3 linked regions of the Callithrix jacchus genome follow. The protein of the gene in region 1 purifies or fractionates together with the protein of each later gene. This does not show direct contact. Links are inferred from orthologs where the notes say so. Each region holds a gene or a part of one and is shown in the gene's direction. Other genes may lie near its edges.

Region 1 (3,749 bases):
TGGGCCTGCGCCCCTACGGCGTCACCCTCTCCCATGTCCCAGCCAGAGGCGCCGCCACCTCTGGGCTCTCCCTGCCGGGACCCCGCACCCGCAGCTGAATGAAGCCTCGGCGCTGCGCCGTTCACACGCTCCGTGCTGCCGCCGCGAAGCTCGCGCGGAACCTTCCCCGCTTCCAGAGAACCTCGGCCCCTGCTGTTACCCCGTCACACGCACCGTTCCTCTCGGGTCTCCGCGGCAGGGCCACCACCCCCAGACGCCCCCCTGTGCACCCCATCTCCTACCCTCAAACTCGTCGCTCCTCCTGCCCACACTGCCCAGCTGCCGCGCCCACCCGGCGGAGCTCCACCTGCGTGGAGGCCGCGTCCACGCGGGCACCCCAAACGCCACCGGTAGGTCTGGAGCACGCGAACGCACGCCCGGCCCCGGCCCATCTCTCCGAGCTGCCTCCACCCTGCGGGTCCCCACGTCGCGCCAAGCAAAGCCGCAGAGCCCGCGCGCCTTTCTTGTACGACTACCCCGCCGCCGCCGCCGCGCGGCCGGGCCCGGGGCCCAGCGTCCGGTGTCGGGGGCCGGAGGAGGCCTAGGCGGGCCCAGAGCACCCGCGCAAGGAAAGGGACTGGGCACGGCCGCGTTAACCCCCTCCGCGCCAGACGACGAGCCTCGGTCATCGCGCGGCCCTACCAGCCTCAGCAGGCTACCCCTGTGCCCGCTGCAGCAAGCGTGCAACCGGCCCGGCCAGTCACAGACTCCTCCGGCCGGGACACACCGCCGGCGGGGAGACACCGCGAGCGCTCCAACGCGGCTCACACACGCCGCCTTGACTCTCTGAACACTTCACCGCTCGCGCCCATTGGCCCAGGCATTTACGTCATCGCTGCGCGCCGGACGGCAGCGTCTTCCCGCTCCTTAACTCTGACGTCAGAGCGGAGCCGGCTTGAGCGGCTGAGAAAGGCAGGAGGAGGTGTCGGCGGCGGGAAGATGTAAGTGGGGCGGAATCCGACCGCATCCGAGCTTTAGGGGTTGCCAGTCAGGCCCGGCAGGAAGCATCGTGAAGCTGGTCCACTCCCCAGCCCCGCAGTGCGGCGGCAGCATGGCGGCGCGGTGCGGACTCTAAAAAGAAAGAGTGTAGCCCGGGGTGGGCGGGGTGGGAGGTGTCGTGGCCGTGGCCCGGAAGTGGTCGGGGCCGCGGCGGACGGAAGGGCGCCTCTGCTTCGTCCGTTCGGCGGCGGCCCAGCCAGGCCCGTGGGACTCTGAGCAGCGGGGAGCGCGGCTTCCGCCCTTGGGGCCCTCCTGCCGTGCCGGAGACCCAGGCCCCCAACGCCAGGCCCTGCCCTAGAAGCGCTCGCGGCCCGGCGCCTGGACAAGGGAGTTGTGAGTGAACGCGGACGGGGAGCGGCGAGGTCGGCGTGTCGGGCCGGTGCCGGCGGGCGCGGAGTTTCTTTGTGGGATACAGTGGAAGGCTGGCCGATCCCCCCATCGGAGGCATTGATTCAAACATGCACTCCGCGAACGTTTCCCGGGCTCCCGTGTGCAGTTCTCGGCGCTAGGCCTGGGGGATGTGGCCCGCTATGGACCGAGCACGGTGGCCTGGCCCCGTTTGATGGGTTAACCCCGGAGGGGTGGATACGGGAAGGTTAAGGTTGCTGGAGGAGAAACGTGGAGTAGGCTTTTTGTCTTGATTTCGCATGAACTGTGCCTGAAATGTACTTTTAAATGGGGAAGGCGCTCTGAAGATTTGTGCCGAAACGCCCTCTCCTCGAGATTTAACTAACTGTTCTCTCCTCTCTCTGGCTGTTGGACGCGCACCTTTCCGGAGGATGGGGGAGGTAACCGAGGTCCTGAGCCGGTACCTGAACTTGTGTGAACAGAGAACCTCAACCTTTGCTTTCTAGCATTCGACCGCACCCAGCAAAGCGTCCGCTTTCTCAGTGGTTCTTAGAGTGCTTAAGAACGGTGCTCCTTGATCTCACGAAGCGAATCAAAGTAGCGGTGTTTGATTTCACAGAGTACATTTGGGCAGATCTTTAGGACTAGGGGGTGGGGCTGGAATATGCGGGTGTGACCTGCACTCTAGATCTGTGCTGTCCAGTGAGGTAGCCATTGGCCCCACGTGGCTACTGAGCATGTTGAAATACAGCAGCTAATCAAAACTGAGATGTTAAAACACACCCCAAATTTAGAAGACTTACTCTGAACAACAACAAAAAAAGAAACCTTTAGATTTTTATGTTGATTATTTGATGGAAAAGTATTTTGGATTTGTGTCAAATGTTAATTAATTTCACCCATTTTTGTGACGTGGCTACTAAGGAATTTGAGATTCTGCTTGTGGCTCCTCACACTATTTCTGTTGGACAGTGCTGCTGCAGATGATCCTAAGGTGGGTGGGTGCGGGAGCCCTGCAGAGAGTTCAGAAATTACGTGGGACTTTGGAGACAAGTGTCTGGGGGGGGGGAAGGAGCCTCTGGACGTGAAGATAAAACCCTTGCTTCTCACATGTATTGAGCCTTTGATTAATGCCCTGCATAACTGTAAGGTTGGAACTGTAGTTGTCTCCATATTGATGATGAGAAACTTGAAAAACGATAAGTGACCTGTTCAAAATTGCACAGTAAAACTTCAAATCAAACCCAGGCCTCCTGGCTCCAGACTGGGAATTATACTCTGATACTCACTGTTTGTCCAAGGACACCAGCCATACCGGGCACTGCCTGCTGGGTGTCTGCAGAACATCACTGTTCTGAGGCAAAACACTATGCCCTGGACAAGAGCAGCAAAGGTGATGTTCGGCCCTCCATGACTCATTTGACAGCTCAAAGCCAGGTGCTCTTCTTTCTTGGTCAGAACACGTTTTCAGCACTGGCATTTCTGCATGGGGAAACCAGAACCCCATTAGTGTGCTGTGCCCTGCTTACGTACAGGCTGTTGGTTGGAGAAGGTGAGACAGAAGTAGCTGAGACTCACATCCTGAGAGCTTTACTTAAAAACTCATGCAGCTTGTGCAGACCTGGCTGGAAATACTGAAGGCAGCAGTCCCTCTGAAATAGAGCCCATAGCTTATTAGCAGTTTGTTTTGAGTAATTTGTTACCATTATTTGAGCACACGCTGCAGTCCAGGCGTTTTGCTAAACTTAAACGTAGGTAGTCTTACGTGGTAGGTAGTCTCTCCCGAAACCTCAGTGCCTACTTTTTTTCTTCAACATCTTATTTTTGAAAAGTTTAAGCACATAGGAAGGTTGAATTATACAGTTAATGCCCACAAAAACCACTTGAGGGCTGGGAGCGGTGGCTTATGCCTGTAATTACAGCACTTTTGGGAGGCCAAGGTGGGCTGATCACGAAGTTAGGAGTTTGAGACCAGGCTGGCCAGTATGGTGAAACCCTGTCTCTACTAAAAACACAAAAATTAGCCAGGCGTGGTGGCACACACCTTTAGTCCCAGCTACTCAGGAAGCTGAGGCAGAAGAATCACCTACACCCAGGAGACAGAGGTTGCAGTGAGCTGAGATCGTGCCAGTGTACTCCAGCCTGGTGACTCCGTCTCGAAAAAAACCCTTAAAAGTTTGTTACATTTCTGCTTTATTTGAAGTAAATTGCACACTTGCATGTGTTTTCCCTACACACTCAGTATGCATATTCCTAAAGTACAGTGTTTGCAATCACTGCTTTTTAAATGTCCATGCGGTACATTTTATCTGTTTGCATTTGGGTGTTAAGTGTTTTGATGCTGGTACTAGTCACTTTTGAAA
Region 2 (3,322 bases), on another chromosome or scaffold:
TAGGGAGGTTTGTGTATGCCTGGTGCTTCTGCCCTGTGCATCCACCTCCCAGAGGGACTTCTGGGTGACACTCTGATAGGGAAGCCATAAAACCCTATAAAAGTCTTTGCTAAAGTAAATAAGTCACTCCTTGCTCTTCCCAGCCAGTGTTCTGTGTGTCTGCTATCTGGGTTTGTGTTCTTTAAATCAGTTTATCTAACACCAGGCAATTAAGAATACCACAAGGCTTAAAAAACAATCAGGTTATCAGAGTATGAAATTATTCCGTTTGGCAACTGAGACAAACCCACACAGCTGCCTGGAGTGGAGGGTTCCTCATGTTGGCTCCGATGCCTCTGGCTCCAGGGGAGGTGACCCTGAGGAGAAGGTGGCAGCAGCGCAGAGTCCCAGGCCTGCCAGTGTGCCCAGCAGCCAGCTCCCGCCGTCCTTTCTCTAGCAATGGGTGGGGGTGCCATGTATATTCTCACCTGGCCTCTTAATAGTCCAGCATGGACGTTTTTGGGCCTGGTTTTCAGGCGTTTATGTGTCTGGCAGGCACAGTAGTGTGAGAGCTGTGGGCTGCAGGCCCAGGCCCTGGCGCTGCCTGGAGCCTGCGGTCTCAGTGCTCACTGGGATTGCTGCTGGTGGCCGGGTGAGGCAGGATGATCCAGCAGGTGTCTCAGGGAGGAGCTGAAACTGCGTAATTTACCCTCATCAAAGTTGTAATTCAGTTATTTGTCAGGTTTAGTTTCATCTCCTTATATTTGACCCTGATTTTAAGGATTTTGAAGATCTTTCTTTGTGTGAATTTTTTGTTTTAAGAAATTCACTCAACTGGGGTTGCTGCTGGGGTTGGGCGTGGTGGCTCACGCCTGTAATCCCAGCACTTTGGGAGGCCGAGGTGGGTGGATCACGAGGTCAAGAGATCGAGACCATCTTGGCCAATATGGTGAAACCCCGTCTCTACTGAAAATACAAAAAATTAGCTGGGTATGGTGGTGCATGCCTGTAATCCCAGCTACTTGGGAGGCTGAGGCAGGAGAATCACTTGGACCCAGGAGGCGGAGGTTTCGGTGAGCCAAGATTTCGCCATTGCACTCCAGCCTGGGCAACAAGAGCAAAACTCGGTCTCAAAAAAAAAAAGAAACAACTTGAGCCAGGCATGGTGGCTCACACCTGTAATCCCAGCACTTGGGGAGGCCGAGGCAGGCGAATCACGAGGTCAGAAATTCGAGACCAGCCTGACCAACATGGTGCAACCCCATCTCTACTAAAAATACAGAAATGAGCTGGGCGTGATGGTGGCACCTACAGTCCCAGCTACTCGGGAGGCTGAGACAGGAGAATCGCTTGAACCCGAGAGGCAGAGGTTCCATTGAGCCAAGATTGCGCCACTGCACTCCAGCCTGGTGACAGAGCGAGACTCCGTCTCAAAACAAAAAAAGAAAGAAAGAATTTGGTTAGATTGGTGAAGGATGGCTTCAAGTTAATCTGGGGTAATTTCCTGATCAGCCCAGGCCTTGTTCCTCAGGCCTTCCTGAGTGGAGTGCAGGGCCGCCGTGTCAGGAATGAGGCTGATGGCCCTGGAGCCCTTCCCCTTCCCAGGGCACCCTCCTGTAGCCACTCACTCTGGGTTCCCACTCGTCTTCGGAACAGGCTGTTTTGGAGTGAGCGGAAGATCACCAAGGCCAGGGAGTGGTTCCACCGCACTGTGAAGATCGACTCGGACCTGGGGGACGCCTGGGCCTTCTTCTACAAGTTTGAGCTGCAGCATGGCACTGAGGTGAGGCCTTCTGGGACTTTGGCGGGGACTTCCACCAGCCCTGAGGGCTCTAGGAGGTGGCCAAGGCCAGCGTGACTCTGCCCGGGTTGGGAGGATAGACAGGGTGGGTGGGGCACGGAATCCTTGACACCTCCCCACGAGGCAGTCTCTGTCTCTACATCCGTTTTCTGGTTATAGCCTCACAGCCCCACACGCTGGAATTGAGGTGCTCAGTCCCTTGCAATGGCCTGTCTGCTGGCGCATTTTAATGAGTTATTTGTTGGCTGGGGCCTGTGCTCACCTTAGGAATGGGAATGGAGTTGGCCTTTCTCTTGGGGCTGAGCCTGGGTGTGGCTTTCTGGGAGAGCCTCGACAGCAACTCCCTCTGCTCCCACTTGTTCCCCTGGAGCCAAGCATTGTCAGAGCTGTGCTGGAGGGCAGGCAGGCTGTCCTCGTCCTCCCTGGAAAGTGGTGCCAGCCCATGTGAAGCCTGACTCCTTGTTTGGAGAAGGCATACGTGAGCACTTGTGTGAGACACAATTGGGAGTCCATGCTCCTCAGGAGGGGCTCCTTTGAGGAACACACCTGGAAGAGCTTTGCCTTCTGGTGCAGGGCCTGTGCCCCCTCACCTGCCACTTGGGGTCAGTACTGCCAGAGCCAGGTCTGCCTGGGGGCAGGTGGGGAGTGGCCTGGGAGGGCCCTTGCCTGAAGTGCCCTGTGGTCCCACCAGGAGCAGCAGGAGGAGGTGAGGAAGCGCTGTGAGAGCGCAGAGCCTCGGCATGGGGAGCTGTGGTGTGCCGTGTCCAAGGACATCGCCAACTGGCAGAAGAAGATTGGGGAGGTCCTTAGGCTGGTGGCCGGCCGCATCAAGAACACCTTCTGATTGGCCGGTCTCCATGGACAGGGCTTGGGCTGCACGGGGGAGGGCGTGTGGAGGGCTCTGGGCTGTGTCCTCCTTCATTATCATCCTCCATTAAAAGTTTTTATGTCTTGTGTCAGAGTGGGCGGCCTGCTGGTTTTCTCTGGGGCTCTTCCCTGGCTCCTGCTTCTGCTGCCCCAGTTGGGCCTGTCCTGGCCTGTCCCATGCTGTCCTGGGGTGGTTGCAATTGTCCTTGCTTGGGCAGAAGCCTCTTGCAGACAGCCAGTGTCTCACAGAGGAGACATTGGAGGTGCTGGGGTTCCCCAAGACTGTGGAGAAGGTGGTGGGGTGCAGATATTCCAGGTGAAAGCCATGTGTGCGGACAGCTGGAGACAGTGGGGACCGAGCTGTGTGCAGGCCAAGGTGCTCACAGGAGCCTGGCAGCTGCCTGCAAGAGTTTGGTCAGGGGACAGCTGGGGCTTCCCTGTGGTCTTGAGTGGTCCCTGCAGCTTTTTGGAACAGTAGAGGTCAGCTCGCCCAGGGTCTCTCCACACTGCCTCCCAGGCCTCTCAGGCACATGTTCAGTGGCAGTGTCACCAATAAGAGGTGTTCTTACTTTTGGAGATGAGTTTATTTTTGCCAATTTATCATTAGCAGTTAAACCCCTAAAGCACTTGTAACTGAAAGTTGTATTACCTGGGAGACATGGCTTCTTTTCAGCC
Region 3 (3,649 bases), on another chromosome or scaffold:
CTTTTCTTTAGAGCTGAGATTAAAATTTACAATTTATATTTGTATAGATTTAAGTTGAGTGGGGGAGATATTAAAAAGTAGGTCAGTGGTTACCAGACTTACCAAATTTTAGATGCATGGAAGAACTGTAAATTCCCATAAAGCTAATCTATTCATTGACCCCCACCATTATGATAGAGATCATATGGTGACTAATGCAAGATGAAACTCTCAGCTTGGAAAGTAACAAGGAATAGGATGTAAGTATGAGCTTCTGTTTTTTATTATATTTATGGATGCCCCCTCAGAAAAATATGCAAAGGGGTAACTGGCTTGGAAATGGGTGTTTATGCCTAGTAAATCCCACTCACGAGTTTTGCCTATTTGAAGCTTCTCTCAATGACAGTGCATCTGTGAATGTTCGCTGGTGTTGAAAATGATGCTTTTGGACGGTGCAATGCAAACACTGCATGAAATGTATTTTGATGTTAGAGGTAATAAGGTGTTGCTGATTCTTACTGATAGACTGAGAGATCTTTACTCAGTGTAATGTTAAATGTTCATTTTCTGTTTTATTCTTACATTTTCCCATTGCTTTCAAAATCTCAAATTCACATATAATGCCAATGAACACATATTATCCAGATGCCCAGCCCTCACTCACATACACAGTGCTTTTTCAAGAATTAAATGTGTCTAAAAGCACAAACAATTCTCCCAAAATTAATTTTGAGAGTTGAAAAAAGGTGGTCTGTGGGAAATCACTTTAGATGAATCATTTTGGTTAGGTATAATACTGAAATTCAGGACTGAGTAAGCTTAAAAATGGTATATGATTGTGTGTGTGGTTTACCCCCTTTTTGTTTTTATTTATTTGTTAAACTCTGTCATGTTATTGGTAAATGATGAGAAAATCACGTTTTAAGAAAAATTTAAAAATATATTTGCTTTAAAGTTTGAGAATCTGTTCGGCATTTCACTGCCTTAGTATTATTCAGTGGAGGAAATGTTTTGAATTTTCAGAATGTCTTTTAAAAATAAAAAGAAATCAAAATGAAAAACCAAAAAGTTTTTTTTTTTTTTTTTAAATTGGGTGGTTTGGCTAAAAGGGTTGTTTGAAACTCCAGTAACAAAAAATGAGCTCAGTGAACCTTTGCATGTTTTGGTATGAGTTTATTAAATAACCACAGACTGTCAGGGTATCAGCGTGGCAGGGGGCGTCCATTTACAGCACGGATGAGTCTGAAGAGAGAATAAGGTAAGATTTATGATTTTTTAATCTGTCCTTTTTCCTTCATTACTTTCTTACATAATTTTAGATTCGCCTCACTTCCTTTCTCCAGTCTTTAAAAATATACATGTATATGTTTACATGTATTACATATATTTATATATGTGTGTGTGTGTGTGTGTGTGTATATAAAATATGTAAACTTTTAGGAAACATTTAATATGGACTGGATTCACTCACTTTTTCATTACTTAGAACCAAACTTTTGAAATGAGTTCTGAAACAAATGGTTATTTATATAACTGAATATAAGTAGCACAGTGAAATAAGAATTAAAAATTGAGGAATTCTACAAGAAAAATTAATATTGGAACAGCTAAAATATTCTGTAAGTATCTATTTCAGAAATAAACAAATTTCTTTATAAGTGTATGCCATTGAGGTAAGTTTTATATAGTCTAGCCTCATTTTACAATATAAATTTTTATATTCATTAGAACTGTTTCAGAAATGAGATTTTCCCCCTTTAATAGCTGTCAGTTTCTGTCTTCTTTCTATCATTTCTCATTTCATTCCTTTGTAATTTCAATGTATTCAGTTTTGGCTTTGCCTGCATTCTACTACTTTGATATAGAGCGGCACAGCAACTGAATATATTGCTCATACATTAGCTTCTCTTTCATAATCTGCTATCAGTTCTCTGATCCATGAGGAAGAGAAAAAGAGTATCTGACAGGTAAGATTGCTTTTTAAAGTTGTTTTAAATGCATTACATGACTGAGAAAAGAAAAATGCACATTTTATTGTTGCAGTTTAAATTTCATATTGGTGAAACTAAACATGAAACAAAAGGGATAAATGTGTTTTGTTGTTGTACCTGTTTGGGATATTTTTTTCTGAGTTTGTGTAGAAACCGTGTGGTACACTGGTAATCTTGTCAGGGTACAAACTTGGTCTGACTTTGTTATTTGGTTTATTTGTGAACCATGTACTTGCTCTTCCTCCCAGAAACATAGCTTGTAGGGAAGGTTAATCCAGTGTTGGCGATCCATGTCCTAGCACAGCATCTGTAAGTTAATGCACAATCGTTCCTTCCAAGGATGGATTTATCATTGTAAATATATTTTTATTGTCTTACAGGCATAATGGGTATAAGTATATTGCTTTTAAATATTTTAAATGAAACTATTACAGTTACATATATTTTGCTTGAAGTGAGTGATTTTCAAACTTTTTGTATTGTGTGGGCTGTCCATCTTGTAATGGTGGGAGTAAATGTTTCCACAGATAATAAGGCAGTTCTTGGTTGAATTCAGCTTGTGTTTCTTTTGGAGGGTGGGCAAATCGGAGGGCAGAGATTATTTAGTTGGATTATGGGTATTCTGCACCACCTGCCCTTTGAAACCCTCAACTTTAGGTAATATGCAGTCTGGGGTTATAATTAGTATTAATTAATTTGTGGCTTTACAGAAATCCATAATGGACAGAGTTGAGTTTTACCCAAGTGATTGTATTTATAGAAAATATTTTGAACCACTTTCTTCATGGTCATTTTAGTTAGTACATAGTCATTGAGTGGCCAGCCACACCTGACACGATCTCCCAGCATCCAAGATTGGAGATTCCTGGTCTGTGTAGAGTATATGGTTTTGCACGAAATCTTTCTAGTCTTGTGATTGCTTCAGTTTAATTTGTCACATAAAACCACAAGTATTTAATATTAATATATCAGTGGTTTGGTGTTTTTGTTCCCAGTATTGGGGATTGCGCCGGGAAATATCTGAATACTGGAGCTACAGAGTTAACTCTAAAAGTGCTTTTATTGGTTTCTAGAAACTGGAAGAAGAGAAAGGCAAAAAGGAAAAAGAAAGACAGGAAATTGAGAAAGAACGGAGAGAAAGAGAGAGGGAGCGTGAAAGGGAACGAGAAAGGCGAGAACGGGAACGAGAAAGGGAAAGAGAACGTGAACGAGAAAAGGAGAAGGAACGGGAGCGGGAACGAGAACGGGATAGGGACCGTGACCGGACAAAAGAGAGAGACCGAGATCGGGATCGAGAGAGAGATCGTGACCGGGATCGAGAAAGGAGCTCAGATCGTAATAAGGATCGAAGTCGATCAAGGTAAGGCTTTACAGAAGTCACTGTTTCCTGATAGCTTTAATAGAACTACCAGGTAGTCTTCCAGAGTACCATTTGCATTCATGAAATGAGAGAATCTTTTTGTGTGTGAGACATTCTTACTCTGTCATATAGGCTGGAGTACAGTGGCAAACCTTGGCTCACTGCAGTCTCTGCCTCCTGGGTTCAGGTGATTCTTATTGCTCAGCCTCTCAAGTAGCTGGGATTACAGGTTTGTGCCACCATGCCCAGCTAATTTTTTTGCATTTTTGGTAGAGATGGGGATTTACAATATTGATTAGCCTGGTTTCGAACTCCCAGC

Evidence for each region.
Region 2: the proteins of RNPS1 (region 1) and PRPF6 purify together in Homo sapiens (co-immunoprecipitation; 3 studies listed by BioGRID and IntAct, with this or other methods). This does not show direct contact. The link is inferred for Callithrix jacchus from reciprocal best matches to the Homo sapiens genes RNPS1 and PRPF6.
Region 3: the proteins of RNPS1 (region 1) and RBM25 purify together in Homo sapiens (affinity purification with mass spectrometry; 3 studies listed by BioGRID and IntAct, with this or other methods). This does not show direct contact. The link is inferred for Callithrix jacchus from reciprocal best matches to the Homo sapiens genes RNPS1 and RBM25.

The regions. Positions count from the first base shown.
Region 1 is NC_133513.1:4,501,994-4,505,742, forward strand, and holds the start of RNPS1 (RNA-binding protein with serine-rich domain 1), read left to right. Parts: upstream 1-920; 5' UTR 921-978; coding exon of another isoform or gene 979-980; exon of another isoform or gene 981-3,561; intron 3,562-3,749. Other genes in the region: uncharacterized protein LOC144578542, read left to right, coding at 1-829. UniProt on the Homo sapiens protein: Part of pre- and post-splicing multiprotein mRNP complexes. Auxiliary component of the splicing-dependent multiprotein exon junction complex (EJC) deposited at splice junction on mRNAs.
Region 2 is NC_133506.1:59,507,672-59,510,993, forward strand, and holds the end of PRPF6 (pre-mRNA-processing factor 6), read left to right. Parts: intron 1-1,635; coding exon 1,636-1,762; intron 1,763-2,471; coding exon 2,472-2,624; 3' UTR 2,625-2,739; downstream 2,740-3,322. UniProt on the Homo sapiens protein: Involved in pre-mRNA splicing as component of the U4/U6-U5 tri-snRNP complex, one of the building blocks of the spliceosome.
Region 3 is NC_133509.1:108,087,187-108,090,835, forward strand, and holds part of RBM25 (RNA-binding protein 25), read left to right. Parts: intron 1-3,043; coding exon 3,044-3,330; intron 3,331-3,649. UniProt on the Homo sapiens protein: RNA-binding protein that acts as a regulator of alternative pre-mRNA splicing. Involved in apoptotic cell death through the regulation of the apoptotic factor BCL2L1 isoform expression.